Linked DNA regions of Saccharomyces cerevisiae S288C. Changing the gene in region 2 together with the main gene of any one other region gives a genetic interaction. Each region holds a gene or a part of one and is shown on either strand. Other genes may lie near its edges.

Region 1 (16,198 bases), on a different chromosome or scaffold from region 2:
TTCGCCTAGCCACATCTTCCTCCTTAATGGAAATATTGTCATTCAACGCAGCAACTGCGGATGCACCTATTCTTGCAGGAGAATTAGCTCTTCGTTGTACATTTGTAACTGTGGAGTGTGATATACCGCCGGTAGAGGATGATGCTGGAAACTTATATGGAGAGGGCTGTCGACTCATTGGAGTTGGTGACACTGTGTTCATATTTAGAGGTTTTAATGACTTCATAGAACCATTCAATCTGGGCAGATTTTCTGAAGATTGCGTGCCTTCTGTATTGTTATGTGGTTGATTGCCCCCTGCCTTCATCGGCGAAGACGCCGGTACGCCATGGTCGGTGTTGAATAGTTTATGTATTTGATTTATGGGCAGACCTGAACTGGAAGCAAGCTTAAACAACTCTATCGAACGATTCAAGTTTTCAAGTTTATAATATTGCTGCTTAGTCTTTTCTTGTTCTATTTTCAAATCCATAGCTTTCATTAAAGCATTCTCAGAAAAAGCCCATTCCGATACATTAGTACCAAATATTATATCTAACAGCGATTTGCTCTTGTTGACATTATTATGACTATTATCATTGCTTTCCTTTGGCTGGCTGTAACTGTTGAAAGTACTCATTGGTCGCCTGTGCTCACAGATGGTTGCAAGTTTTCCATGTAATGTAATTTGCTACTTATTTTCCTACTGCACGCGCAAGTTTTCTCGTTGACTGTTATTAAGAAACAAATGAACAAACAACAACTGCACTAGAAGAGCAACAAGACTAGTTTCCGCTTTCCTTCTCTTTTTCTTTTTTAAAAAAGCCAATACTGCATTTGCAGCTTACTGAAGAGGCCAAAAGAAACAAGGCTTGATGATAGTCAGTAATCTTCCTCTGGACCTCTTCGCCGAGTTCTTCGAGAAGTTCCCAATAAGGTAATCGAAACGAGAGAAAAAAAGACGAGCAAAAAATTTTCTCAATTTGCCTACTTTTAAGGGTTCGGAGAGGAAGGTTTATTTGTAAATCATGACATTATTGGGCGAAGCGTAAGTGGCTTTGAAGAAGAGGAATAGCTACTCGACCAAAACTTGAAGATACTATCATACCCAACTTGGAGCGCTCAGTGACTAGTCTGCCTTTAGTGCTGTCCTGCCTCCCGTCATGCCAAGAGCCGTACTCTCCCCTTAAGGGCTGCTATTTTTTTCCGGTAGGTGTTCGGAATCCCCTTTCGAGAAAAGTAATTAATCCGAGAATTCCTTATATTTCTTACCAGAAATAGTAAGCGAAAAGGACGTTGAACTATAGCAGATCAGCGCGTCTTCATAATCCCAGAAGGAGGCGGGAAGAACAACCCCCCCCATATAGTTTTACTGGTCTCCTTTCAATCTGTTTGTTCTGAACCTACTTTCATTCTTTTGGCAGATATATGTTGCAACACGTACATAGAGTGAGTTTACTTCTTTCAGCTTGGAGAAGCATGAGAGGTTAGGTTGATTGATGCTAAACAAAAAAATTCCGCCCTGATGGTGAAAAAAGATAACGGGGCGAGCTGGGAATTGAACCCAGGGCCTCTCGCATGCTTTGTCTTCCTGTTTAGGCAGGAAGTCGCCCAAAGCGAGAATCATACCACTAGACCACACGCCCGATTATTTCGTGTGGTTGTTGTATTACGGGCTCGAGTAATACCGGAGTGTCTTGACAATCCTAATATAAACAGTCTTAGGGAAGTAACCAGTTGTCAAAACGGTTTATCAGATTAATTCACGGAATGTTACTTATCTTATATATTATATAAAATATGAATCATACTAAGTGGTGGAAGCGCGGAATCTCGGATCTAAACTAATTGTTCAGGCATTTATACTTTGGGTAGTTCAGCTAGGGAAGGTCGGGTTTTGTCTCATGTTGTTCGTTTTGTTATAAGGTTGTTTCATATGTGTTTTATGAACGTTCAGGGTGACGTATTGTCATACTGACATATCTCATTTTGAGATACAACAGTGGTTGTGTCATGAAGTTAGTCAATACTAGCCGTCTTAACAATATTAATACCTGTCAGAAGAGCAGCTTGATTGACGGAATGTTACTTATCCCATATAATCTATATAGGATCTAAATCTGACTAAAGGGTGGAAGCATAGATCTTCGGAGCTAAACTGATTGCTCAACTATTTATACGTTTAGGTTCATCAAGGCAACCGGGGCTTTGAAAATACTTAATCTTGTTTTTTTCGCAACAACTGTTTCATACGTGTTTCATACGTCTTGTACGTTTAGGTTGATGAATCTGGTGATGCAGGGGTATTTCATTTTGAAGTGTAGTAGAGGTCTTCTAATGAAAACTCGGCAGGGCCCTAAGCTCAAACTCTACCTCATCTACGTTGACCCTTTTTACCTTCTAGATGCCATCAGTTGTTAATAGTAGTAATGGAATACGATTTGCCAATCAATCTTACAATCGCATATAATTCGTCACTGTTGAATATCTGCGACGTACACCATCTAATCACTTCGCTTAGTCGATATAACCATTTGTTTGAAAAGATGAATTGATTCTAATCTTGCCTCTCTCGGGTTATGTTATTATTATTTTTACGTTTTGGCACGTGAATCTTCAGTAATTGATTGCACGCTTGATAAACGAAAAAAACATAAACAAATAAGGTAAGACTGCATTGTAAATCCTAGGAATGAGAAAGAACAGAGAAGCTAACTGCAATTATGAATGGTGTCTGTATACAATTAAATACTAATGTTGACGGAGAAAGAGAATAAAAGACAAGAATTAACTAAATATTGAAGAAGAGTAAAATACACAATAGAAAAGAATGACTCCTTTTCCCAACACTTGTAGGAGTGTTCAAACAGTTTCTTCATCAAATACAGTTTCGATGGGTTTTTCCATCAATGATGCATGTCCGAAAACGCTGACGGCAGAAGCACCGATCAACCATAGCAAAGTTGAGATTGGCGAAGCTAAGAAACCTATTGGCACAGCAACACAAACCAGTCCGGTGTATAGTTGGTTGGTCTTGAAAGAACCAAATGGAGTTACGAGCTCCTCACCCTTTAGTTTGTTTATACCAACAATACCAGCTACGACTAGAACAATAACAAAGAGTAGCAACAAGTTTGTTAATAATGTGTAAATGCTCAAACAACCAATAATCAAACCATAGTTACTGGAAAAGTACTTCAGGTTATACGCCACTCTGGATTGAACTTCCCCAAAGTTTTGAGGTTTGGAAATTTTCTTGAAATTGAAAAATTCTTGCGGGGTGCGAAGGGTTGCTAATTTAGATTGCAAGGATTGGAACTCGCTCTTAATATTTTCCATGGAGAAGTTTTGAGTGAAACGTGAAACTTGCTATAGAAATATAGAAAAAAGGTTAACGCGTTAGTATAGTTTTTCAATGATGCAAATGTGTTTACAATTTAGAACTTACGGCTAAAGCTCCTAACTGATTCATTATTGGAGTATTTGATGTTATTTTATGCGTATTTGACGGCTGATAGTTCCAAACTCAGTGTTCAAAGCCCTGCAATATTGAATTCAATCTGAATTCTTTCGATTTGTATTTATATTCGTTGTTATTATTTATTTTTTCTTTTTGCCTCGATTGCATGTGACAAAAGTGCAAAATTCGTATCGCACGACACAGAACTCCGCCACTAATTAGAACCAGAGAAGTAGCAATGAAGGCTCATTAGTAGGTTATATTTAATTGTTTACGTATTCATGTTACGACACGTCCCTTTTCAAAGACCTAAATCTTGTTTCACAAGAGCTTTACAGATTGGATGATACGTGTCCTTGAATTTGTCGAAAGTTGCAAGTGCCAATCGACGGTCTACAGAGTTTAATAGTCTGTAACCGGGACGGACAAACTTCATTCTACCTACAGTTCCCAACCAATCGGCCAAATGCTTATATTCTTCTTGCAGCTTGGCAAAGATCTGAAATTTGAACATCTTGAAAACAACTTCCGCGTTCTGTGATTTAACAATGTTATCTTGATAGATATCTAACAGTGCCCTAGATGCCACGGGAAACTTGGCCCAGTCAAAATCTTTTGGTTTCTTGTTGGAATGGCCATTTTGTGTCAAAGTTTCCAAGAACAAAACCAATTGATTTGAATTAAAATCCTTAATGTCAATAGCGTTAAATTCAGACCGGAAATCCTCTGTGGTTTTCAAATGTTGAGCCATTTCGACCCACTTGTCAGCCAATTGATAAACATTATCAGCCAAAGCCGTAATAAAATGAGGCCTTGGTGGCATACCTGGTTTATACAGCCAAGTTTCCCAGTCAACGGAATCCAAAATTTCTTTCTTTTCGGGATAGAACTCATACAAAGTATCCAAAAACTGGAAAGTATCCAATGATTTTTTGGCAAACTTCTTGAAATAGTGTCTAATAAATGGATCAAATTCAGCCTTACCACCCAAAATAGTTTCCAAGTGAAATAGTAAGTTGAACCCCTTTTCGTACGGAACAGTGGAAAAGGCATCGTCAGGGTCAGTGTTATCGTTCAAGTTTTGTACCAAAGTGGAAAATCTTTCAGGATCTTTCATAGAATCAATAGAATTCTGCAAATCGCTCCAACCAATCAGAGCACTGAAATGTCTAGTTGGTTCGCCATGAATGGCACCAATAATTCTTCTTTCTAAGTAAACGGTCCAACCTTCATTCAACCAAAAATGATTCCACGAACAATTGGTCACTAAGTTACCAGACCATGAGTGAGCAAGTTCATGGGCGATGACATCAATGTTGGATCTGTCATGTGCAATCAAGGTGGGCGTAGCAAAAGTCATATTCGGAGACTCCATACCGCCGTAAGGGTACGAATCGACGTTAACTAAGATATCATAAGTGCCCCACTCGTATTCAAAGATAATTTTCTCTGCAGTTTGAATGAATTTCTCTACATCGTTTTCAAATTCCCATTGACAATCTTTCAAACGAAATGGTTCAGTGTAAACTGTGGAACGAGGTCCAATTGGAGCGCTTGACAAATCACCGGAAGCAATACCGATCAGGTAGGCTGGGATAGGGACTTTCTGTTCAAATCTGTAAATATTAGTATCCTTGCTTGTATCTTCAATCCTGATGCCTGAAAAAACCACTGGTAGTGGGGACTCGATAGATGCAGTGAAAGTAGACTTCACAGAGGGAGTATCAAAGCAGGGGAACAAAGACCTCGCATGAATAGCTTCCAACTGTGAAAACACGTACGGTTTACCGCCCTTGGTTTGCTTGCTGTTCAACCATTGCAAAGCGGTGCACTTGTCAGTCGTACGAAATTGAATATTCAAGGTAAAGTTATCGTTGCAAGAAGCGTTATTGATGACTAACCTGGAGCCCAATGGCTCCTTTCTTTGCTCAATTTGAAAATCTGCCTTGGAACCATCAATATGAACCTCCTGGACATCCAAATAGGATGTATCCAGATGTAATTCATCCGATTTATTTTTACCTTCGTGCAGTTTTTTCAATTGGAATGTAACGCTCCCTGAAATGGCTGACTTTTCGAAGGAAACAGACAGGTTTAAATCGGTGTGAAGAACTGCGAAGTCCTTATAATTTGATAAAGTAGACTGATCGTATTCGGGGGAGCGGGAAGGTCTTCTCTGCTCAATTGAAAGAGGCAACATTTTATGAGGGGTGGAAATGTGTATGTTTCTTGAGATTACAGTAAGTAAACCTCGAAATCGAAGCGTGGGCAGGTAAATAGAGCTGGAATGACGAATGACAAATGGAAGCAAGAACATCAATTAGAACACCAAGATAACCTAATACATAAAGCAAACTATACTAAAGTGCGTTTATATAAGTCAAACGAAAAAGTGGAAGAAAAAAAGTGACATGATTTTCCATACGCAATGCCCCCGGAAACTGAAGACGCATTGTGTCAAAAGATGAATGAAAGCCACGACGAAACAGCCGAAAATGGTGACAGGAGAGGGCCAACGAGCCCCGTGAGAAGACCTGTGTAGGGCGTACCCATGAAGGAGGCCCCTATGATTTTCCATTTGGAAACACTCAGGATGTTTTCTGATGACTGGATGATGATGTCCTTGAGGACCAGGAGACAGCCAAAAAATACAATTGAGATCGCGAGCACAACAACCAAAGGCCTTGTGTTGATGTCATAGCGAACATACCTTTCATTGATATGATGCGTAGATGGCGTTACTGACGGTGAGCTGTTGTACATAGAGTTTTTGACTCTCACGCTTTGATTATCCCTAAAATCACCCGGAATTCTGTACTGGGATTCAACCGGCACTGCCTGCTTCTGTACCCTTCTTTTATGCAGCAGCTTCCGCAGTTGGTTAGTGGTTCCGCATTTCTGTGATTTGCTTCCATCTACAGTTGAAGTTTTCCTCTTAAAGAATTGCCCAATTGACCTCTTTGATACGTGCTCCATTAATATCTTGCGCCGAAATTGTCACACTATGCTCACGTATGATTAGTGTATTTATATATGAATAATTCAAATGGCAGGCAGTTTCTTGTTCGAGCCAGCATTGGCGAAAAAAATGCCAAAAGTAGAAGTAAATACGGTAGACACTCCAGCAAGATAAAGCTGCAATATATAACACATCACGGCGATGCTTGTATATTTAGGAGCTCTTACGTCCACCAATGCTAATATATCCTCCTAATGATGGCGCTGATACTGGTAAAAACTCATAATGGTAGTAGTCATTAGCCAATACCTGCCTCTTTTTTCCGGGTCATGCCGCATTCTTTAATCAAAAGGCGATGCAACCTACTACATGAGAAGATGACCGCGCAAGCAAAGGTTTAGGAGAGCGTTATACGCTTTACCCAGCCGTCCATTGCACCATGTCTTACCAACGGAACAGTGCAAGAGCCTCTCTTGACCTCAGAAGTCAATATCAACAACTGGAAGGCAGAATGAGGTCAGAACATTTTAATCCCGCCTATCAACAGCAGCAACAAAAAGGCCAGAACATACCCCTGTCACTACCCTCGTCGCTTGCGCAACGCAATCCTATACCTTACCCTATCGACGCTGTGACTTCCGATCCCACTATCCCGGCTCAGTTGAACGTATATGATCACGATCGGCAAAATTCGATAGTCGATGCTGCGGCTGGCACCAATACGACGCACTCTTTGAACTCTAATAATATTCCATCATCACAAAATAATAATATTAATAATAACAATATCAATAATGTTGGTTCCTTCACTGACCCTTCCATGCTAACGCTGCCAAAAATGTCTTTACATAGCCACCAGAAGCAGTATGATTCTAACCAAAACGATCCTAGGTCCCCTCTGGCGATACTGATACCGACTTCTGCGCAGCCCACTGATGTCTTGTCTGCTAGGTTTTCTGCCTGGAGAAATGTTATTCGTGCCATCTTGGTATATCTCTCTGAGACCGCCTCAATACAGGACGAAATAGTTAGACAGCAACTGAGGTTGTCCCATGCTGTGCAGTTCCCCTTTTTCAGCATTGAAAACCAATATCAACCGGTCTCTAATGAAGACAAGTCCATGCAGAAATTTTTTCTGCCCTTAGGAAGTGGATCCGTTCAAGATTTGCCCACGATGCTGACCAAGTATCATGATAATCTGGCCTCTTTGGCATCGAAAAGTTCCAAGGAGTTGACCAGTGAAATTATACCCAGGCTAGAGGATTTGAGAAGAGATTTACTAGTCAAGATTAAAGAAATTAAGGCTTTGCAATCTGATTTTAAAAATTCCTGTAACAAAGAGCTTCAGCAAACTAAACACTTGATGAAGCTTTTTAATGAATCATTAAAAGAATGTAAATTAGGTACACCAAAGAGTGACCCATTTTTGATAAAATTGCAATTGGAAAAGCAAATCAAAAGACAGTTGGTGGAAGAAAATTATTTGCACGAGGCATTCGATAACTTGCAGAATTCAGGGGCCCAGTTAGAAAGTGTTATTGTAATGGAAATACAGAACGGATTGACCAGCTACGCTAGAATTCTTGGCAAAGAAGCCCAAGTTGTATTTGACTCAGTTATCTCTAAATTAGATTCCACGATACTGAACAAAAACACGAATCTTGAATGGGATAGTTTCATTCTAAGGAATATTTCCAATTTTGTGCCTCCAAATTTACCCATGAGGAGGTTTAAAGAGATCTCGTATAGCAATCAAAACGATCCTTTTACTTTTGAAGTTAAATCTGGGTTTCTGGAGAAAAGATCAAAATTTTTAAAGTCATACTCACGTGGGTTTTATGTCCTCACTCCAAGCTTTTTACATGAATTTAAGACACCAGATAAGCATAAATTTTCCACACCGTTAATGTCAATACCATTAGTGGAATGTACTGTCACTGAGCATTCCAAAAAGACGAAATCCAACTCAGAGCAGGGCAAGAACAAGTTTATATTGCGTACGAATTCTAACGGACTAATACATAGGGGTCACAACTGGGTATTCAAAGTAGACTCTTATGACGATATGATAGAATGGTTTGGAAATATCAAAGCCTTATCAAGTTTGCCCAACTATGACGACAAATGCAAATATGTGAGTAAAGTTGCCAAACTGTCTAAAGAAAAAGCCAAGAGTAATGAAAACACCACGGAGAGCGTGACCCCCCAGGTAACTAATGAGCAACATACGAGATACGATGATGTGAGTAGTAGCAATTTTCCCTTGAATTCCATTCCAAAATTAGACAATTTGACAATCACTAACACCACGTCATCGATACCGGAAACGAATGATTCACAAATTCAGAATAGGGTTCCTGAATTTTACATTGAAAATGTAGATTCCCCTAGAAAAAGCAATCAGCTGTGACAAGTAAGTTAATTATATAGTAATGCTCTAGTTTGTATGTAATATTATGTATAAGTTTTCTCATAAACAAGGCTTCTATTTTCAAAAAACATCAGCCCCTTTCCTCCTCTTCTAATAATTTACAAATAGGATTCAGTACAAAGTTTTCCCAATCTTTATCAAACTTCAAATCAGAGAATTTATACAATGAATACTGCTGGTTTCTTGCGCCCATCACCCTTAGGCAGTCATAGTCCAGTTTCGTAATTTGTAAGAAAAGGTCGGACAAATTAGGGTATCTCAGAGGATCTTTGGTTGTGTTATAATCAGGATCACTCGGCTCTTTAAAGAAAAATCCAGTAGTTTCACCATCATCTTCGAGTTTTGCAAAATATTTCTTTTGTAACTCCCATTGTGGTGGAGCTTTTCCGATATTCCCGTTGGCATCCCATGGAGTAACTATATCTAACAATGGGCCCGCCGAGGCATGAACTATGGGGATCAAACCGGAAGCCATATACTCTACAACTGCAATTCCAAAGTGCTCATTCCACATGGCATTAACACCGAAAGTAGATTTGTTTAGTAATATTTCAATCTTATCGAAGGGCAGATTTTTTTCGAATGATATCAAATGTTTAGGAATTTTTAATACATTTTCTGACCAGTCTTGTAAACTTTTAACATAATTTTCATCTTGCTTGGATCTAGTGGACCCCGCCATTATCAATTTAATTGGCGATACAGAATCCGGTAAATTTTTCAAGAAAGTTGCAAAGGACTCAATGATTAACTTATGACGTTTCTCAGGACGAAATTGTGCCAACACAATTGCTTGATTTAATCTCTCACCCTTTGCAGTACCAAACTTTTGCTTCCAATCTACTAATTTCTCAGTAGAGCATGGAGGATATATAATTTTACACGTATTGGATTGCCAAATTTGCTTTATGTGGTTATTTGTCCATGTTGAGTTTGTGATTACAATATCAATTTTAGAACCAATGGATTGATAAATTAACATAAAAACTTTCCAGTATAATATTTTACCGTAAACTTTGATACCCTTCTTGGGCATTTTGAACAGCTTATTTAACATGTCTTTTGACATTATCGGATAATGCGTATATGTGACGATAGGAATTCTCCTCAAAAACCTAGCAATAATAGGATAGCTGAAAGGGTACCCCATTGTATCAATCCATATATCAGGTGGACACTGAATAATGGATTCAAATGCGAGAATCATTGATCCAATTGCTTGTCCAATCAACGTGAAATGCTTCCATGTTGAAGAATCCACCAAGTATCTTAGCTTCAATGAAATGAAAAATATTCTATCCGAATCCAAGTCGTAATCGAACTTCGCTTTCACATTATTTAGAATATTCTCCGGAGTAACATTCTCTCCATTCACAAAATCCCCTGAATAAATGACAATAACGTTCTTAGCATCTTTTCTCAAAGTGATATCTACAGCTTTCCAGAGCACTTTTTCCCCACCACCACCAGCATTACAATACGGATGAAAAAAACCAAAAACTTTCACATTCTTCTCACCACAGGAGGCAACTGCTCTGTTCAGTAATGAAGATTTTTTGGAGAACGGATTCAAGCTGGAATACACCCATTGACGGAAGATCCACGTGAGAACCTTAATTAGTCCATACACTAGTACTAAAGATGATACAACATATTTTTTGAACCCAAAATGAGACTTAACCTCTTCAAAATTGTAGTTTGTCCAAGCACTGCCCATTTTCGCCTGCAATCACCTGAACATGTTGGTCACACTTGGATACTAACATCTATCTTCACTTCACTTACCTCTCAATCTTATTATTTATTGAACTTTTCACTTTTTGTTTAGCTTACCCGAAGGACATAGATGTAGCGATGACAACGATGAATGATACGTCAGTTAAAAGGGTCTTCGTCGAACTCTTCATCTAACCCTTCATTTGCAGTGTGCTTGGTTGATGAACCTTCTTCCATTAATGATCGACAGCTGCAGTGAATAATGTCTCATCATAAGAAGAGGGTGTACCCTCAAGCTCAGGTGCCATACATTGCAAGTATGCCAATAGTTGCAGAGCAACAGCAGTCTCAACAACAAATCGACCAAACAGCTTATGCAATGGGCAACCTACAATTGAACAATAGGGCTAACTCATTTACACAGCTAGCTCAAAATCAACAGTTTCCTGGTTCTGGGAAAGTGGTCAATCAACTATACCCTGTGGATTTGTTTACAGAATTACCTCCGCCAATCCGTGACCTGTCTTTACCACCTCTTCCAATCACCATTTCTCAGGATAACATTGTGACTCCATCCGAATATTCAAATGTTCCATACCAGTACGTCAGATCTACTTTGAAAGCGGTGCCAAAAACAAACTCTCTGCTGAAGAAAACGAAGTTACCATTTGCCATTGTTATTAGACCATATTTGCATTTGCAAGATTCAGACAACCAAGTACCGCTAAATACTGACGGAGTCATTGTCCGCTGTCGCCGTTGTCGTTCATATATGAACCCTTTTGTCGTTTTCATTAACCAAGGGAGAAAATGGCAATGTAATATATGCCGTTTCAAAAATGATGTCCCATTTGGGTTTGATCAGAACTTACAAGGCGCTCCAATCAACAGATATGAAAGAAACGAAATTAAAAACTCTGTCGTGGATTACTTGGCTCCCGTAGAATATTCTGTTAGGGAACCCCCACCATCTGTTTATGTATTTCTTTTAGATGTTTCTCAAAACGCTGTCAAAAATGGTTTATTGGCTACTTCTGCCAGAACCATTTTAGAAAACATAGAATTTCTACCAAATCATGATGGAAGGACCAGAATTGCTATTATATGTGTTGATCATAGCCTTCATTATTTTTACGTTCCTTTGGATGATGATTATGAAGTATCGGATGAGGATGATGAAGAATCAGATGGTGAAGAAGAAGATGAAGACGAGGAAGAGGAAGACGTTGATAATTCAGAAACAATTCAAATGTTTGATATTGGCGATTTGGATGAACCATTTTTACCAATGCCGAGTGATGAATTAGTAGTTCCACTAAAATATTGTAAAAATAATCTGGAAACATTGTTGAAAAAGATACCTGAAATTTTTCAAGACACACACAGTAGCAAGTTTGCACTTGGACCTGCCCTAAAAGCTGCGTCAAATTTGATAAAAAGCACTGGAGGCAAAGTTGAAGTCATTTCATCAACTTTACCAAATACTGGCATCGGGAAATTGAAAAAAAGAAGTGAACAGGGCATATTAAACACACCAAAAGAAAGCTCTCAGCTACTGTCGTGTAAAGATTCCTTTTATAAAACATTCACAATTGAGTGTAATAAACTACAAATAACAGTGGACATGTTTCTGGCATCAGAGGACTACATGGACGTTGCCACTCTATCTCACCTGGGCCGTTTTTCTGGTGGTCAAACACATTTTTATCCTGGTTTTAATGCCACCAGTTTGAACGATGTTACTAAGTTTACTAGGGAATTATCAAGGCATTTATCCATGGATATTTCAATGGAAGCTGTTATGAGAGTTCGTTGTTCTACTGGCTTGAGGGCCACATCGTTTTTTGGCCATTTTTTTAACAGATCCTCTGATTTATGCGCTTTTTCCACAATGCCTAGAGATCAGTCTTATCTTTTCGGGATATCCATCGAAGACTCATTAATGGCAGAATATTGCTACTTGCAAGTGTCAACATTGTTGACTCTAAACACTGGTGAACGTAGAATTAGAGTCATGACGTTAGCTCTACCAACGTCCGAATCAGCTAGGGAAGTGTTTGCATCCGCAGATCAACTAGCCATTACTGATTTCATGACACAAAACGCGGTGACTAAGGCTTTGAATTCAAGCATGTACTCTGCGAGGGATTTTATCACAAAATCGCTCGAAGATATTTTAAATGCCTACAAAAAAGAAATTTCGATGTCTAATATAAATTCAGTAACCTCACTTAACCTATGCGCAAATTTGAGAATGTTACCTCTATTAATGAATGGACTAAGTAAACATATAGCCCTCAGACCGGGCGTTGTTCCAAGCGATTACCGTGCAAGTGCGTTGAATAGATTGGAAACGGAGCCTCTTCATTATTTGATAAAGAGCATTTACCCTACAGTTTACTCCCTGCACGACATGCCCGACGAAGTCGGTCTACCTGACTTTGAAGGAAAAACGGTTCTTCCTGAACCTATAAATGCCACTATATCTCTTTTCGAAAGATATGGCCTGTATTTAATTGACAATTCCGCAGAATTATTTTTATGGGTTGGCGGAGATGCTGTTCCTGAGTTACTAATAGATGTATTCAATACTGACACCATATCTCAAATTCCTGTGGGGAAAAGTGAACTGCCTCTTTTGAACGATTCGCCTTTCAATGAAAGACTAAGGAGGATAATCGGTAGAATTAGAGAAAACAATGATACAATCACATTTCAATCATTATACATAATAAGAGGACCATCTATTAACGAGCCCGCCAACCTAAACTCCGAAAAAGATATGGCTTCTTTAAGGCTATGGGTATTAAGTACTCTTGTCGAAGACAAAGTTTTAAATTGTGCTAGTTATAGAGAATACTTACAGAGTATGAAGACTAGTATCAACAGATAACAATCAGTCTTTCTTTAATCTTTATCTTTATTAACCGATCATCATGTATAGATTTTGATATACAATACAGATAGAAATAAAAGTAAATCGTGAAAGATTTTGGCCTTTGCGTGTGAGAGTTATGTACTTCAAAAATGCCATTCTGTTCCTACATAAAAAATAAGTATTTTCAAGTCATCGGATCAGTACGAAAAAGAAAAATTTGAAGTACTTAAAATACGACCAGTTTCATTTAAACAGCAATGGAAAAATCTCCTCTAATGAAAAAAAAAGAAAAACATTGAAATTCAGTATAAAAATGTCTGAATTTAAGATGTATGCTTTGACATAAGATACAAGTTTGCCTCTAATTTCATTTTTTTACTAACTTTTCAACGAATCGTTTAATATTCTAATTATTTTGCAGAGTATCAAGAAAAGATCTTTATAATGAAGGAGAGGGATTAGGAGAAGATTATGATTCCAATAGTAGTAGTAAAAATAATAGTGAGCATGTAGAGGTATTAGTACCGCCAACAGAATTTGAATTCGTTGAAGTTGAAAGAACCGACTCATCATTAGATCTCAAAGAAAGTAATAACAGCGCACATGAACAAAAGGAAGAAAAACAAGAAGAATTCGAGTTCCCGTTATTTTCGTTTGGTGTGGTTGAAGCATCGACTAGCCCAGCTCAAGAAGAACAAGGTTCATCAACTCAAGAGAAGGATACGCCACAGACTGAAGTAAGTTTGATGAAAATTTCATTGAAGGAACCTGAAGAAGAAATAATCAACCAAGAAAGGCCCAAAGACTACTACTTTGCAAGCTATTCTGCAGACCAAAAGCTGCAATTCCAACAGAGCTCTATCGACTATGATGTGATAATACAAGAAAGTACAAAAATTCTGGAGGATGATCTACGTATTCGTGATAAATGGCCATATTGCCAGGGTCGAATAATAGATCTGTATAAGCACAATGCGAGAATAGAGTTAGAGCAGCAGAAGGAATTGAAGATTAAAAAGAGGAGACCTGGTCAAAAGCAACGTGCAGCCAAAAAACTGGCACTTGAAAGAACCAAGGAGCGTGATACCAAAGCTCGTGAGATAAAGAAACAGTTGAAGAAAAAGTTTCATAAGCGTGGTGGAAAGAAAAACAAAAAAAAGGTACCTTTGAACCCACTGGCAAAAGCTGGCAGTACCCCTAAGTTTAGGACAGAATGACCACGTAAATGTATATATATACATATTAATACTTCATATAAACTAACCGATATTGGATTTCTCATAATAACTATTACTAGTATAATCTTTAATAATATAAACAAATATTACATTTCATGTAATTTTTATTAAACATATGCACATGCTATTGAAAATTGCTTTAGATTCATCCTATTTCATCAACATTCTTAATTTTATGTAAACTGTCTCACTTATTTAGAGAAATAGATACTGAGTTTAGCATTACATCCAAGTAGCTTTGGTAATCACTATTATCAGAAGATTTTTTCATACTTTGCTTCATAGTGTTTATAATAAAATCTTTATTTTTTAACAGCGACTTGCCCACAGGGCCTCCTCTATTAACAGATATATCAAAGTCCTTTTTGAAGGCAGATGAAACTTTGCTCCAAAACAGATCTCTCGGTGTACCAGAACCTGCTTTACTCTTCATTGAGGTATATTCTGATAAAAGATTGCCAAGGCGTGATTTATTAGCAGCAATAGATCTCGAGGAATTCGTAACATTATCCGTTTTGATGTTCTGTAGTAGTGTTTCTAAAATGTAGATGTTATAACCTTTTTCAACAACTTCATTGAACGCATCAGGAAACATCCTGATAGAATTTAAAATTTTTGATAGGATTTGTGAGCTCATTGTAACATTAGATAGTACAATCTTGTTTATTGCAGACTCGAATTCTTGAGATGAAAGTAGATATAAGGAGTAGGCCAGCTGAGATATTATTTCTTTGTTCGATTTGATTTTAATAGAGTTCAAGCACTCTTTACACATTTGTAAAGACAAAAATGTTATTAACTCTCTTTTGTTGGGGGAAACAATGTCCTGATCTAATTGTTTAATTTTCCGCAAGGATTTTAGATTTTTATTTTCTTCCAAAGTAATTTCAAGTTGGTAGTGTAAGGAGGCTAAATTAATAGCTGTTGATGTGCTTAGTTGGGCTGTTTTAGACAGTGCGTTTAATTTGTTTGATAAATGAATATAAAGCAATGCTCCGCGCAAGAGAAAAGATGTTTGGTAAACTTTACTCAACGCTAGTTGGACTTTCCTCGCTCTTTCATAAGGATCTAGAACTTGATTCTTTAGTCTATCGTACGACATATTCATATATCCCAAACTTGGTTTCAACTCACCAACTATGGTTGAATTGACGTGTTCATTTTTGTAAATTAACTCTATTATCTCCAATGGGTTGCTATTCATCAATTGGTCTATTCTAGAGTCAATCTCATGTAGATCATAGTTTAGCTTTTTAAGAGGCGTGTTAAGGTCTAAAATGGTTGTGTCATTGTTATTAGTAGCCTTCAGTAAGTCATTACCAAATTGTTTAGCATCAAAATCAGGCTCCAGCAGAGACTCAAAATCTTCTAAATCGTTTGCCATTGGCGCTATTGTCATACCTCCAGCTCTTTTCTTCTTTTTTGTTACACATTTTTATCTTCCATATCTATTCTAGTTGATTTTTTTTTTTTCATAGTATTCAACCAAATGGAGAAGTTTTTAAGAAATACGTCTTTGAAAGGGAGGCATAGAATA
Region 2 (16,915 bases):
ACTCAAATCTTTACTGCCTGGAGCCATGTATACGATTTGTTTTAGGTGAGAAGGTTAGCCTGGAGGACATCGAAGAAGGGCAAGAACCCTTATTAAATTTTGATATTGCAGATCACATAGATTTTGAAGAATTATCGTCACTGGATAGTTCATATTCCGATTCTCAAAACCCGGAAAACCTTTCTTCGCAATCAGATATAGAGTCATACAAGGAAGCACTGGTATTCCCAGATACTTCGAATCAAGGTTTGGATTTTGGAAGAAATTTAGCTCTTGATACGACACCTGTTCCAAATGGGTGTGGATCTTGTTGGACTGCAACAGGTGAACTCTTCTGCTTCTTTGCAAATGAGAAAAAACCCGAGAAAAAGCAAAATGCAATAATTAAACTCTCTCAAAAAGAAGCAGGGGTAGAGAAGCATCCTTTTAAAATTGAGCCTCAAGTTTTATATGATAAGGAAGTTGACAGCAGTGTAATCACCGCTGCTGATGAATTGAAAGCTCGCCCTAAGCGGTACGTGGACACCTTGGGGCTGGGAGGCGGTACTAATGGGGATTCAAGAACATACTTTGACGACGAGACATCTTCCGACGATTCATTTGATAGTGTCGCGGACGATTGGGACGATATATTGAGAAATGATATAATAGTGAGAACAAAAATTCCAATACTAAGAGGTAATTTTAAAGCTTTCAGCTCAGTACATTCGGAATCCGGGAAAACAGTAGAATCTACCAAAAAAAATAAGAATTTAGTGATTTCCAAAAATTTCAGCAGTTTATTAAGCGACCGCAAAGAACTAGCATTAGAATACTTATTTATGGATGCCACACCGGAAGGATTTGCTAGAAATAACGCTTTGGTGGCAGAAAAGTTTGACCTTGATGAAATTAGTCATTGTTGGCAAATATTATCTGATATGTTGATAGACCAAAGTGATTACGATCCTTATACTACTATATGGAATAACCATCCCATGGGGATAAAGTGGTTCATAAAGGAAGCGATTGTCTACTTTGAGAGGCAACAAAATTTACAGATGCTGGCCATGTTATGCTGTGTCATATTAAGCGCCAGGAGAAAAAAGATTCCAGCCAGATATTATGGGCAAGAATTAGAGAATATGGAAGGAACCATTGTGTTTAATGACAACGAAAGTCAAAACACATCATTTTGGAAAGGATCTGATGCTTTTTCCACCAGGTCTAGGAGTAGCACTGTTACACCAAATTTTTATGGTAATCATTTGAGAGGAAAAAACATTCATGGAGGAGACAACTCCTCAATAAGGTCCGACGACCACCACGCTAGGTTAAGGACGCACAACACTCTTAATGGTAGTAGTAAATTTACGGAGCCGGCCCAAAAGCAGGGCAGCCGTGCCATTTCATCCAGCCCTTTTCATAGTAGAATGCCTGACATCAAAGTCGAGCTTTTACATGACGATATTATAGAAGCTTATGAACAAGAAGACCTCTTACATTTAGAGGTATCAGACATACCAAAGTTCCAAACTTATATTTATCAATATTCAAAGTTACTTTTTAGATGGGGACTGCCTTTAGAAAGGGTCAAAATTCTAAAAGTTAGTACTGATTTCAGAAGTTCTTATAGTTCCCAAGGCATCCCCCCTAACAATAACAAGAAAAGTCCTTACAATGGTGTACTTACGCACTGGATCGAGAACAACGAGTTTGGAGAAGAAAAATTCCTAGCCCGAAATTGTAATTACTGTGATTTAAGAGTGACAAGAAGTAGCTTCATATGTGGAAATTGTCAACATGTTTTACACTCTTCGTGCGCGAGGATATGGTGGGAGATTGGTGATGAGTGCCCATCTGGATGTGGGTGCAATTGTCCGGAAATGTTCGATGCCTAAAAGCTTAACTATCACGTACATTTTCTGCATATTTCAAAGAACCTTGGATGTATATGAAAAAAAGTTCACAGGATATATGGCTTAATAAGTAGTTTATTTACGATTTTTTAATCCAGTAGAGGCATGATAGAAGACGACAACGGAATCATTGAGCGTTGGAGGCATTTTTACAATGGCTCAGTAATCACGAATAAAAGTAGGTGGAAGTTGAAATCTATTATTACATATTAAAAACTTCAGAAATACTTGAGGCTATATATTGTTGTACACTTAACCAATCGTATAACGGAGCATTGGAACAAGAAAGCTGAGTAGAAAACAGGTTACGAAAGTTGTTTGTTGGCTCATTTGTTCAAAGTCATTAACGAAGCGATAAAAGTAATAATTAATCTTGCACGAACTTCGTTGATATCTTCTGGCACCAACCAAATCAAAGCACCCAACTTTCTAGCAATAGAAATAGCCAATCTTGCGTTTGCGTACCTTTCTTCCTCGGTGTTACCAGGGGTGACTAGATCATAATCAACATAGCCCGGCGCGATACCATTCAGAACATCCAATAAGAAGTGGGCGTTTGATAAAGCTTGGTCCTTAAATGATCTAATGGTAGAGTTTTTACCACCTTTAGTTACCTGGTCTTGGGCCCACTTTAATATTTGAGAATCACTCATGTCTCTACCACTTGAGGATAATGTCTTCATGGTTATCGAAATATTTCTACGCATCAATTGCCACACTAACCCTAAGGTCAGTAATTTGTTACCATCTACAATATCAGATCCTTCGATACCAACCAAAGAAAATCCTTTGGCTCTGCCCAAGTCGACTGCATAGTTGGTGTTTTCTAAGGCTTTGAATCTGGATATCTCTGCACCCGAGGCCGGTCTTTTGTTGACATGTTTAAAATCAACAGCACCGGGCATCACCTTTTCGTAAGCTTGCAATAATATCAAACCATCCTTCAAATCATCAAACAGCGAAATGACAGGTGGATCAACGTCAAGAGAGTTCAACCATAAGGTAAAGACTCTTGCCTCTCTCTCACCTTCGGCGTCAAATTCTTCAATTTCAGGCTTTTCCTCTTCCTGAATAGGCTCTAATCCAGGATGTGTATTGAATAGATGTGCCACGAAAGCCAGGTTTAATTTAGGGTTCCCCGCAACTAATGAACTTGGGGTTAAATACTTTCTACAATCTAGCTTTTCAGCATTTTGTAAAACTTGCTCAGCTCTCTCCATTAAATCTGTGGTTTGTAATGGTGCCTTAGAACACAAGGCGGGGTCCAACTGGTTCAACAAGATAGTATAGTTTTCACCATCAGACACGTCTTTTGAAAAATTGGTAACCCTTCTGTTCCAGTTTGCTTGCTTCAAATGGTAGTTAAACCAACGTAGTAGAATTTGCTCCGGAGGCAACCTCAAAAATTGCTCCAACGTTTCATCATCCTCCAATAGACGGTATAACTCAGGATGCAGCTTAATATCAATTTTACTTAACAAACCTCTCCTAATAATTTGCCAAATCAAACCCAGGATCAAATGCTCTCTACCTTCAATAATGTCCTCGGAATGAACATTAACAACGACACAACCAATGGCTTTTGCAGAATTAATAACAATATTAGCATTTTCACTAGCCTGAAAATTATTCAATTCCTTACCCTTCTTAGGCCAATTCAAAACTCTTGTATCGATAGTATCAGGAACAGAGTCGTTGATCAACTTAGATAGCACCAACCCATCCCTACATTCATCAAATAATTGGAAAGTATCAGTAGGAAATGGAAGCAAATCACCTATATCTTGGTCTCCCGCCAAGACGCTATTGATATGTTTAGTAAATTCACGTCTTTCTTCTTCATTGATGGTATGTGTAGTACCTGTTTGGGAGCCAGCAACAATAATCTTGGCTTGAGTACCCTTACCCTTGTGCTGTAGTCCTGTGGCAGCAGTGGAAACAATAGGGGTTGAGTTAGGTGCTACGTTGAAAGTGGTCTGTGGAGCAGCTCCTGTTTTAGATTCTCTTAATTTTGCAACCAACCCGACGTAATCGTCCAGTTCAACACGGCCTGACGCATCCACACCCACATGCTTCAGGGTTTCTCTTGCTTCGTCATAAGTAGCATCACCATCTTTGGACACCGCTTCTAGAGCTTGCTGTTTTTCAACCCATCCTTTATCATCTAAGTCAATGGCTCTGAACTTTTCAATTGTGGAAAAAAGATCCTCTTGAGTCAAAATTGGAAATTTTCTCTAATCGCAGAAGAGTTTGTTAGTATATGAAACGTTTATTACAACCTAAAAGGTAGAAAAAACTTTTTCACTGTGCTCAGCAGTGTGGGAATTCGAGAAAGGCATACATACTTGTAATTTGACAATATTCATTGTGTTTTGGTGTACTCCTTAGGGCTAATATATCAGCTTCTTCTCTGATAATTTTAGTGTAAAGAGCTTTCTTGTTCTCCTGAAATAACCAAAATTTATATCGATAAATCTTCATTATAAACTTCGCCCCGTACTTTTGATATTTTTCCGCCTCCCGAGGAGTGCTTTTTCACATGAAGGCCATCGGGAACAAGAAGAAAAGCCGTTCACGTAAGAAAATAGGACCCTATATCCGGTCAGGATCACTCAAGCTGTATGTAAATGTAATATAGACAAAGCACCTTTAACTGCTAAGAATTAATTATAGTGTCGGAAATATAACATAACTTGCTTACTTCCTGTGTAAAAAATGTGAGAAGGGATATGATTACTTATGTTTCGGTATTTCCGTGAGTTGAAGTTCGATATTGGATAATCTTGATTCAATCTCTCGCTGTCTTCTCAACATTTGTAGTAGCAAGTCCTTTATTTCTTTAAGTTCCACGGTTTCTTCAGTCACTATATTATCAGGTAGTTTAAATTTTACACTTTTCTGGAAACTAGCTTTGTGTATCTTACCTTCGTTCGCCAGCATGGAATTCAGTTTAGTGTTCGATTTAGTAAGGGATTCTATGCCATTTCCCACGTCTTCCTCTTCTTTCTTGAGTTCAACTAATAAATTCTTCCCTTTCAATTTAGCTCGAGGAAGGTCATTCTCAAATGGGGCGTCCTTGAGCTCAGTATTAGAACAGAGGTCAGTGTTGCTTTTGGCATCCGATGGGAGAATATGTTGCTGCTGTTGCTGCTGTATCCTTTCAGGTGACATGAGTCCATTCTTAAACCGGGCCCGTATTCTCGTTAACGAACCATCACCCCCGATTTTATTTTCATTACTGAATGTCAGTTTGGTTGGTGATGTAGGGAATATTATATTAGTTATATGATCTGAGTTTTGGATCTTCACATTTTTATTCGAATTTTTGAACTGAGGCCTATCCAGGCTTTGAGTTTCCTTAGAGACATAGCCCTTCAGACATTCCGGCGACATAATCCTTCTTGGTGTTACTTGTATACTATGCTTCATTCCATCTGTCTTGTTAGGTGATATCCTCATAGGTGGTTTCAAAAACTCTTTTTGGCTTGTCGTCCTCAAAGGGGACATACTCAATCTCACAAAGACATTGTCCTTGTCACTTGGTATATTATTTCGACCAATCGTATTCCCTATGTCACGTAAACTCCTGCGGTTGCTTTTATTGCTCATAATTTGTTTTATTGAACTATGTCACATCACTGCAATCCAGTGAGAACACTGAGAAAGCTCTAACTAGACTATACAATCCATTTGTTTTGATTTCCTCTTGTTGACAATTTGCAGTATTTAGAGTATATATCATTATGTACGTGTTATAACCGCCATGTCTCACAGTATCAACTAAATAGAGCTTCTGCGTCCACCAATTCATAAACAGAGTTGCTTTTATAGCCATTATTATAGAAGAGGGGAACCGCGCATCGTTGTAACTCGTCCACTTGTATTATTTTTGTAGGTATACCGTTGATGGTTAGATATTCTAAGTTCGGCAAACTTTGCTCAAAAACTTTAAATACGTCTTTTAGATAATGAAGGTATAAGTGGTACAAACTAATGGCATCTTCTCTAGTAATTTTATTCACTGTAATATTCTCAGTATTTTCTATGGTGCTTTGCAGATTTTCATTGAACTTTCGTACAAACGTTTCAATAGGTACAGAATCCCATCCCATCGCAGGTGATTCGTTGTCAATAATGTTTGTATAGGGCATGATCTTGTTCTCGAAAAACATTTGGTAAAAGAAATTATGGGCTTGGAACTTATTTGGGTTCTTTAAAAGTTTTGACCGGGTTTCAGGAAAGATTTTTTTTAGAATGACCTCGTGAATTGTATTTTTGCAAGTTGAACAAGGGCAGAAACCATCGAAATTCAAGCGAGTTAGTGGGTTATCTGTCATGGGAAAAAAAAGCCTGTGATTTAGTTGGCAGTGTATGTCAAAACGCTGTAATTTTTTGCCACACACTTGTTTAGATAAGAAGTTAATCAACGACACATCGAAGTCAAATTTACCCATGTAATCAAGTTTCAGTATCTTTAAATTGTGAAACACAGCCAAACAATTCATTAGAAAAAATTCGCTGTAAACCAATGACGCTAATGATAGTTTCTCAATGTTCGGAAATTTCCAAAATCCTTCTAGCCCCCATTTGACATATAACCTGTCAAAACCACCTTCTTCGCCAGAGGGAAAATCGTCGCGACTGTACCAAGACAAAATCTCTAGCTGCCTTAAGGTGGAAGCATCAAATATGTCGATGTATTCTAGCTCTTTTAAGAAGTCATCGGAAGCGTCGTACTCCGCAAGGTTAAGTGTGTCGGGTCGCAAATTTAATACCAATGCTTTGATCTTCATAGGAGACCCGGTATTTTTGAAGTACTTCAATGCGTTTATATGAATGGAAAGTTTTTCTAATCGAGATAGATCGCACTTCAAGAGCAACCGATCAATTTTATTCAAATAAGAACCGCTTACACTGTTATGGGTGGGCATTAACGTTGGTGGCGTTAATGTTAGAGTTTTTAATTGCTTTGATAAAGGTTCTAGCCCCTTGTTAACTGATGAGCGAACAAATTGATCGACAAATTTCAAATTGGATCCATACTCGGATAGCAATTTAAGTACATTTGTCATCACATCTTCATTTAAATGCCATGTACAACGTATTCGATTAATTAAGGGACATAATCTTTTCGGTGACTCTGCTAATGTTCTTTCGAAATAACTAAATTTCACTTTAGCTAGTCTTCTATTCGACATGTCGTTTTTAGTATTGGAATCATCTTCATCTATGTAGTGAAAGTTTAGGACAGACCAATAACAGGTTCCAAATGAGTTATCATAGTCACCATTGATGTGATAGGTTTCATTAAGAAATAAATTCTGGTAGATGAAAGGTATAATTGATTCATAGGATCTTTTGCATACATATGTTAACGAAATTTTATCTTCCTGCGGAATTCTCCAGGCAATTTGTTTAAAAATCTCATAAGGTAACTTATCAAACATTTTTCGGGCCCTTTCAAATTGGCAGTAGGGTTATTTTTATCTATTTTAAGACACCAAAGTTTCTTCTTTTTGCACACATTATCCTACTATTTTCTCTACGTTACTTTATCTCTGGTTTTAAGAGGTGTCTGTATCCTAATTCCCGAAGTCGATTTTTTTCTTACATATTAACTGATAAATAACAAGAGAAAAGAGACAAGAGCCTACAAAAAGTAAGAAAAGAAGCTACTACAGGAATGTGAGTTACAATGGGTTTCCGTTATACTTCAAGTACTATAATGGCATATAAAAAATACAACGGAGAGCATACATATACTTAAAAGCTTGGCAGAAGAGTAATTTTATCAAGCTAATCCTACAGATATTCATATCCCTTGTAGTATTCCTTAGTTCCGTTAAATGCTATAGCTTTAATAGCTATCAGCATAATATTGCCATCTTTCACGGCCAGTTTCCAGAGAGACTTTCTTAAGTAAAGCTTTAAACCAGAACAAAATCTAAGGTCAAGTGGATCAGACACGTCAATGACCCTGTCATTGAATTTATTTTTATCAGTTAGCAAAGTTTGAACTTGAGAAATCTTAATGCCGTTTATGTCCAAATCACAGAGATATATGCATGCTGGAAGTAAATAATGAGTTTCAATTTTCGTCTGCGTACTATCGGATGGGAACCGATACTGGTAATTTTTCAACTTAGGCGCACCAGAGGGTGTATTTGGCAAATGACTTCCAAATAAGGCCTCAAACTTATAGGCGGATTCTCCAGTTATGTCTACATGGATACTTTGGCTTTCCTTATTGAGGATTATCGTACAATCAGTCGAATTTATTTGAAATATCAACTCTCTCGGATGCTTATCTAAAAAAGGTCTCTTATAACAAAGCATATTCCAGGAATCGTTATATTTTTCAGTCATGTCAAGTTTAATCTTTTTATTTGCTGGCTGTTCACGGGTTTTTGATAGCGAGTCGCATTCATTTATGCTACAGAAATCGTCTTCAAAGTAGGGCGAGGTTGAAAATGCAGAAGAAGCTGGAAAAGTGATGCCTTTTTTTGACAAATCCTTCAATAGGAGGCAAATCTCTTCTTTCCTTGTTATTGGGTTATAGCTAATATGAGATTTGATTAGCCGCTGTTCGAGATTTAAAAGCCTGTAATAACGGCACTCTTTTATCAAGGCATTTCTTTTATTATCATCTAGATCGATGGATGCTCCTCCCAGTAACGTCAGCAAATCTTTGAAGTACTCAGAAGATCTTGGAATGTAAGGAGCAGAATGAGATGGAGGCCTTAATAGTTTTTTAGATATTATCAGCTCTTCCACATCGATATAAACTGTAGCCGCATATATTTCGAAATAATTTGGGGAATCTCCTTCTCTTCTAAATAAATTTTTCGCTATCTTGAATGATTGTCCACCAATGTTGGTAAAATAATAGTCCGTTTCTTTCAGTAAAGATCGCAATCGCGGTAAATTGTAGTACATCGCATCTGCGAAAAGCATGGTATATTGTACTTCATCCTTAATCTCAATTATATATCCTTGCAAATGTTGATAGATCCATTCAAAAACTTCGGCTGATCTGTCTATGAATAGAACCTCATTTTTATTAGATTCCATGGTATCGTTATTACTGTCATCGTTATTGGAAGGAGAGCGCTTCTTAGAAAAATATTCGGTGAAGAAACTAGGACCATCCGAGCTTAAAGAAGCACCGCTGATTTTGAATAATGATTTCCCCACCTGAATCTTATACATTTTCTCGTGTGGGAGTATTTGAGGAATATTCGGATCGAAATATTCTTGTGACAAAGTTGCTACTGTTGGAGAATTTGACATTTTCTATATGATTATATTGGGAACTTTCTTTGTTGGTAATATTTACGAGTGCCACAGACCGGTCTTTAATTCGCTATCTTTCGTTAGATTATGGTATATAACATTCACACATAAGATATACATTTTTTTCACTGCTCAGACTATTCAATTTTATTCGAGAGGAGAATCCATTAGAATTTTGACTTAGTAAGCAATTGCGGCTTACATGATTTTCCAAGAAGTTCAGTCGCCCGTGCAACAAAGACAAAAGCAAGCTAAGAAAAATGCCAGCTCAGTGGTCCGGATAAAATCTTAAAAGGATACGTTTGTAAAAGAAGCAATGATAAGCCGGCCAGATCGTAATAATGAATCACTAATATAAAACTATTATATTTCAGAAAAGAGGAAACCGAGATAGACTCATCGTCCGCTTATTATGTAAGATATTGAATCCATGTTCTTGATTAGCGTAAACCGACTGGGCAAACAAAAAAACATTATTTTTGAATTAACGAACCTTAAACAACCTATATTAAGATATATGATAAAAATACAATGCAACCAGTATATATAAAAAAAGTTTAGTTGCGTGTAACCTAAGAGATATTAACTTTATATTAATATTATTATAATAAACATTTAGTTATGGAGTGTTGCCTCCTAGAATTAGAATAAGAAATTACCAGAATATCTTATTAATTGAAATAAAACGATTTTGTGGAAGCTGTATTGACGGAAAAGTACTTAACCATTTTTCTAAAAATATATTAAAGAAAAGGTTGAGTAAATTACAACAATAAAGCGGCAGCACCAGCCAACAAAGCACCGGCAGCTGGCAAAGCCTTAACAGCGGCACCAGTGTAGGAGGTAACAGTTTGAGTGCTAGAACCTTGTTGGGTTGGCTTTTCAGTTGGCTTTTCGGTTGGCTTTTCAGTTGGAGCTGGAGAAGTGGTATTCTTTGGTGCTTCAGTGGTTGGCAATGGACACCAGGTGGTGTATTAAGTGATAACGTCATTTACGGTGACGGTAGCAGTGGAAACCAAAGCTGGGGAAACTGTTTCAGAACAAACGTGGTCCTCACAAGAAGTGATAGTGACCAAAGTGGTAGATTCTTCTGTGACAGTAGCAGTGGTAATGTTAGAAGCGGCGGAGGCAACAGCGGCAATAGCAGCGATAGAAGCGACGGTAGAGAATTGCATTTTTAATTTGTAGTTATTTTGAAGCGAACGAAAGAAGATGTTTGTTATCCTTGGTTTTTTATTCTATGAAAAAATTTTAAAAAAGAGAGTCTAGCAGAGAGAAGTCGATGAAGAACAACCACGATCCAGCAACGGTTTATATACTTCGAGAGATGACTAAACCATCCTATATGTTGTGGAAAGTGTACACAAAAAAATTGCAAAAAAAATAGTTAGAAAAAGAAAAGTGAGATAAGTACAAGGAAAAAAAAATAACAAACACCAGAAAAATTCCTGCGCGGTTTCTGTGAAGGGGCCGTTGATTCACCCTCTGCACTGGTCCCTGAAAGGGACTACCGACCATACGCGTAGCCCCTTTTCTCACTGGAAACCATCCGAACGCCGATGGAACACGCGTCTAAAAGTGAGCACGGACCGGACTCGCGGATTTAAAAGGGCTTCCCCACTGCAGCGTGTCCTGCAGCTCAAACCCAGCCATCAATTCGAAATAGGAAAACTCCTTCCTTTTTGAGCGATCGTGTTGTAGCAGCACTTCAAAACGGATGACTTTCTCCGCACTGAAACGCATGGGCAGTCCGGCAAGAGAAAACACCGCGTCGAAGCACGGTTATTCATGTTGGAGCAGTTCGCACCATGCTATTGTTTTGAAATGGCTGCCAAAAATATTCATGTTGCACGTTTCAATGCTTGACAGAAAGGCAATATGGCGGAGAACCAGTGTGAGTTGACCCCAACAAATGAAAAAAAAAAATATAATAAAAATAAAAATAAAAAAACAAACAAAAAGTAAGTCTCCTTCAAGGACAACTGAATAGGAAGTTTGAGCCGGTTTCCTATGCCTATAGCCTTGGATGAGTGAGGAGAAAACGTGCAGTTAATAAAATTAGCATACTTTAGGTTTTAGGATGAAACTTTTTCTCCCACAATCCTTATTTGTTATGACACCAGAGTGCCTAATTCAATCGAAAAACAGATAAGGGGAATTTCTGGAATTAGGGTGACAGAATGAGCTACGTAAAATTAACGGCAATGCGAAGGGCATCTTCATATTATTTTTCTCACCTTGCTGCTATTCTAATTGCATTTCCGTTATTAAGGTTTGCCCCTTCTCCGAAGGTAAGCTGCGGAATTTCCTGATAAGTGCATTACCCCGCATAAGGTTCCCCTTACGATACCAGAAAAGGAATCAGTGTCGATCGTATTTTCGGCATGTGGATTATCCTTGCACCTGTTCTCCGGAGAAATGTTGGTTTTTTTCTGTAAGGGGTATGTGGTGAGGAGGTAAGCCATTATCATCGTTGCCTTCATTATATCTTTTTATTGCTGGCCGATCTCTGATATTATGATGAATATTATGAAAAGTGTTCCTTTTTTCTTGCCTAAGTGACGTGACGTCTCCTTTCTAGGCAAGCTATGCAGCCAGTATCTCGTTGAAAATTAAAGTACTTTTCTTATTTACTTATTTATTTTATCCATCCTACGTACCAGATTGTGCGGGACAGGTTTTTATTAGTTTCACAGTTTAATTTTCATTGACCAAACCAGCCTCCATGCACAGTGAATAGAACAATGATTTGTTATCACTTAATAACTGGCCCGGAGAGTCAAACTCGGCTACTTTACCATTGTCCAACACTATGATTCTATCACTGTCCATTATCGTGTTCAGTCTATGCGCGATGGTCAAGATAGTTCTGTCCTTGAAAGCAGTACGAATCGTCTCTTGGACGACTTTATCTGTCTCCACGTCGACTGCGGCCGTGGCTTCATCAAGCACCAAAATCTTTGATGGAACCAACATTGCTCTTGCAAGACATAATAATTGTCTTTGTCCAACACTTAAGTTGCCACCACCTTCGGTTAGTTGGGCATCTAATCCGTCATTGCTCATTGATAGCACGTGTTCTTTCAAATGAGAAAGTTCCAATGCCCTCCAAATAGCTTCATCAGTGTATTGGTTAATGGGATCAATGTTCTCACGAACAGTGCCCTCAAAAACTTGAGAATCCTGAGGTATGATTGACAATTTATGTCTCAAATCATATAACCCAATCTCGTTGATGGCAATGTTGTCGATTACGATGTTTCCCTCGCTAGCCTCAATCATCCTGAATAATGCTAGCGTTAATGAGGATTTTCCCGCACCCGTTCTACCCACGATACCAACTTTTTCATTTGGTTTAATGTGTATATTAATGTGCTTCAGAACAAGATCAAGCTCCGGCCTATAACGAGTGGAATAATTATTAAACTTTATATCACCCTGGCTCGGCCATTCTTTGGGTGGTCTGTGGCCTTCAACTATTAAAGGTGCCTCGCTCTTCAAATCAGCATATTCCTTTATTCTTTCCACTGAAACAATATTCGTTTCAACTTCCACAGTCATTCTAACAATCCAATTTAACGTTTGAGTGATTTGTAAAGCATAGCTTAATGATAAACCCACCATACCTGCCGTTAATGTGCCTTGTTTTAGTCTAAAAACGGATAAAGTTGCAGCACCTAGAATGATAATTGAACCAATAAGTTCCAACCTATATGCTAGCCAACGGTTAGCATTGATAGAGGGATAGAACGCACTCATGTTATTATCAATGCGGCATTGATTAATGTGGGAAAACCTTTTCTGTTGAGAATAACCTCTAACCGTTGCAAGGCCACCCAAAGTCTCTTGGAAATGAGAGTAGATTGGAGACCTAGTAATAGAGTCTAAACGACGCAACTCCCTTGATGTTCTCAGGTAATACTGCTGGTAGTAGATGTAAAACACACTTAGTGGAATGATAATGAAGATAAATTGCCATGTCGTCGCACAGATAACCGTAATAGTGAATGTGACTTTCACTGCATTGACGAAAAACTGAGAAAATGTTCTTCCTAATAAAGCATCCACTTTGTATATGTCATTTGAGAATCTGTTTAGAATTCTACCGATTGGTGTTGTTTCAAAAAACGTCATTGGGGCTCTCAACACAGAGTTTGTCATCAAGTTGTGTAAATATTTGGAGGCATGAATGGTACAAAAAACCCAGAGAACGATTGTCTGGATTAATGTTGCCAGTGCTGAACCAATACCAAGTGCAAAATAAATGGCCAAGTAACGCGCGGCATTTGGATTAGATCCATAGCGGCTATTAACTTCAGACCAATGTTTCAACCAAACGTTACCCATAACAGAGAGGAACATCGATATAACAATAAACAATATGAATACACAAACGCTTTTCGGGTTGCAAGCTTTAGCGTACTCTAGGTAAATGTTCCACTTTACTTTTCCCTGTTCACGATGCTCTCTTTTAGCAATATTTTCATCGTCACCAAAATCGATGCTTCCCAAAGTTGCATCACTGGCCCTCCTTAAACTTATGGCGTCAGAGTTGCCAAAATCCAAATCATTTAATTTCTGCAGTTGTTCCAGCTCTCCTTCTACAGGTATACTACTTTCTCGAACTGAGCTTTCAGAGGAGTCACCGAATTCATTCGACTTACCGTTATTTTTTTTACCATAGTTGTTGAGCAATTTCCATAATGGCGAATCAGCGTCCTTCGTAATCTCATCATATGTACCCTGCTGTGTGATTTCTCCATTATCTAATAATGCAATAGAATCTGCGATGGATAACGCGCTCACCTTATTAGTGGCTAATACCTTCGTTTTTGTATGTAATAAACCATTTGGACCCAACACATGTTCGATCAAGTGCCTGGCAACGTGTTCATCAACAGCTGCCAAAGGATCATCAAGTAAATAAGTGTCAGCTCTCGCATAAACTGCTCTTGCTAAAGACAAACGAGCTTTTTGTCCTCCAGATAAGGAGATCCCTTTCTCGCCAACTAATGTCTTATCTCCATCCATCAAAATTGCAAGATCAATAGTTAACGCACAGGCCTTGATCGTTTTTTCGTAAAATTCCGCGTCGTATCTATGCCCAAATAAAATGTTTTCCTTTACAGTACCATTCATTATCCATGGAACTTGTGAAACATAAGCAACAGAACCATGAACGGTGGCGAAACCTTTAACCCTGAATAGATCACCTAACATGCATGACAATAGAGCTGTTTTACCACTGCCAACTTTACCAACAATACAGGTCAAATTTCCTTTTTTAGCTTGGAAATTAATATTCTTTAAGGCTACTTTGTATTCCGGTTTCCGTTGCCATAAAAAGGTAGCATCATCTCCAATGTTAATGGCTACATCGCCAATATTTTTTACTTTTGGTAAACGCTGAACCGAATCTGGTTGTAGCTCTTCATTGGTAAAGAATGTAAATAATCTACCAATAGAAACAGAAGCTTCGATAAAAGAATTTAAAACCATAGGAATAATCATTAGTGGGAATGAGAGCAGGTTGAACAGAGTCAAAGCAGGGAAAACTAAGTCAGTAGTCAATGCTCTATCCTCAGTATAAACAAATACAGCAAAGGTACAACATGAAACAAGGAATGGTACTATATTGAACTGAAAACTTGTCACAGCCATATAACATCCTAGTTTTGTAAGATTTTTTAACTCTTTGTTATTTCTTACTTCTTCTAGCTTTTCCCTATAAGGCTTCTCCCATGCATATAACTTCAAAGATTTAATATTGTTTAGTATTTCACTTATAACACGGGTCCTTTCATCTTTGTACTTCATCTGGGATTTTTGCAACTTCTTTTGTATCCTCATCAAAAATGAGTTCAATGGCATCATAATAACTAGTATAATCACGCCAACCCACATGGAATTTCCCAACAACTTATACAGAGAATATAAGCAAATAATGATTTGAAAAGGCCCTGACCATATTAAATTTAGCCATTGTGTTAAATCTTGTAATTTTTGAACATCCACACTCATGAGATTGACAATGTCACCGGTAGAGGAAAGTCCAGAAGCCTCATTAGATAGCACTAAGGATTTTTGATATATTAAAGCCGTTAGGGCGCTCTTAATATACATGCCTGTGTTGAAGACATTCAGGAAATATTGATGCAGGACAGATGTCTGAGTAAAGCCCACCAGAAACATAGCAAACGCAATCAAAAACCCTCTTACAATGGGTAATTTTTGTGGGTGGTTATTTTCAAACCCTTGAAGAGAAGAATGGTCATCCTGTCTCTCACTGTTATAGTCTGTGACGAACTTGATTAAAATCCTTAGTAGTTGTGGTTGAGTAAATGCTAGAACATCATGAATTGCTTTAAAGAATGCGGCTAAAAGCATTTTAGATCCAAAAGTTCTGCATATAGCCCATGATAATGAAGGATTTGATTTTTGCTTCAACTCATTTTCCCAGTTTTTCTCCAATTTTTGAGAGAGTTCTTCACTACTAAAGTTCCTCGGTAATTTATATAAATCTGCTTCCACTAAGTATTTTTCATAGCCAGTTTTCATCAAACCTGACATCCAAGAGAAGGTAATCCTGGAAAATATGTTTGCGCTATCGTATGGATTTGGTTTTCTTCTTGTTAAAGTTTGATGTATGTGTTGATGTGGCATTAGCGGCTTCTTTGGAAGAGCTTCAAGTAACAGGATACTGGCACATGTTATTACTTGGAATAACGTTAGTATGAAACCCGTTTGTCCGGAATACCAAATGCCTTCGTAGGTGTGTCTAATTAGAATATTTATTAGTTTAGCAAAATTACCGAATGTTTCAAAAAGCCAATAGAATAAAAGTACCGTATTGGCTACAACTGATCTATCGTATTCTATCCAGTGTAAGGCTAAAGCAACAAATAAAGATAACATTGTAGAAGCATATTGACTTACAATGGTAAAGTTTTCCGCTTCTTCTTTAGAAATATTTAAAGACGCAAGTGAAACAAACGCTATCTCCAACAGAACTAGTGCCATCCTAGAGACAATAATCCAATTCCGCCTATATTTGATGCCAGAGTGTTTTTTCTTGCAAAGGTTAACTAAATCTCTGATACCGAAGGTTATCATGAAAATTGCTGATAGATTTAGGATCACACCGTCGATGAAGCATTGAGTAAAGTCACCGTAAAAGGATATAGGTCCAAACCCTTCAGGAGATCTACAGAGCTTGCAGGCCCATGAAACAAGATTACCAGCCATTTTCTTGTTCTTTACGGTAGTACGATACCCCTAATTTATTCTCAAACTGTTAATTGAAAAATTGTAGGTTGTAAACCAGCTTCCACATAGCAGATGATCACAAGAGGTTATCGCACCTTTTATAGCAGCTGCTAACTTTTTTCATCAATTTCGTAATTACTAAGCCGTAACCTTCCACCGCCCAAGCATCACACCAGGAGTTACATATTTTTGTATTATCATAAAGAAACACACGCCAAGATATCTACAGAAACCAGATGTTAGCATTAGATATATATATTCGTATTGATGCAGCATAACAAGCGTACTATGGATTGCAAAGTAATGTAGATTCCTGACCAGTAGATCTGCTCGCGCAAGAGAAACATTCATGAACTCTAACGACAATAACAGTAAATCCACCTCACGGAGAACGATAAAAGTCTTCATTTCTCCATGAGGTGGAAACGTTGTTTGAATATTAAACATAATACTTGAAC

What was found.
Region 1: mutations in MRX16 (region 2) and YNL046W together harm fitness more than expected from each alone (negative genetic interaction), as found in Saccharomyces cerevisiae (2 studies listed by BioGRID).

The regions. Positions count from the first base shown.
Region 1 is NC_001146.8:532,521-548,718, reverse strand, and holds YNL046W (uncharacterized protein), read right to left. Parts: upstream 6,416-16,198; coding exon 5,897-6,415; downstream 1-5,896. Other genes in the region: BOP3 (Bop3p), read right to left, coding at 1-619; YNL042W-B (uncharacterized protein), read right to left, coding at 1,349-1,606; YIP3 (Yip3p), read right to left, coding at 2,842-3,348, 3,428-3,451; LAP2 (bifunctional aminopeptidase/epoxide hydrolase), read right to left, coding at 3,741-5,756; SLM2 (phosphatidylinositol 4,5-bisphosphate-binding protein), read left to right, coding at 6,838-8,808; alpha-1,2-mannosyltransferase ALG11, read right to left, coding at 8,900-10,546; COPII subunit SFB2, read left to right, coding at 10,808-13,438; YNL050C (uncharacterized protein), read left to right, coding at 13,737-13,753, 13,845-14,640; Golgi transport complex subunit COG5, read right to left, coding at 14,849-16,060.
Region 2 is NC_001136.10:711,116-728,030, forward strand, and holds MRX16 (Mrx16p), read right to left. Parts: upstream 9,189-16,915; coding exon 7,701-9,188; downstream 1-7,700. Other genes in the region: MTC5 (Mtc5p), read left to right, coding at 1-1,880; SAC6 (fimbrin), read right to left, coding at 2,225-4,132, 4,244-4,264; FIN1 (Fin1p), read right to left, coding at 4,632-5,507; YDR131C (uncharacterized protein), read right to left, coding at 5,675-7,345; ATP-binding cassette glutathione S-conjugate transporter YCF1, read right to left, coding at 11,889-16,436.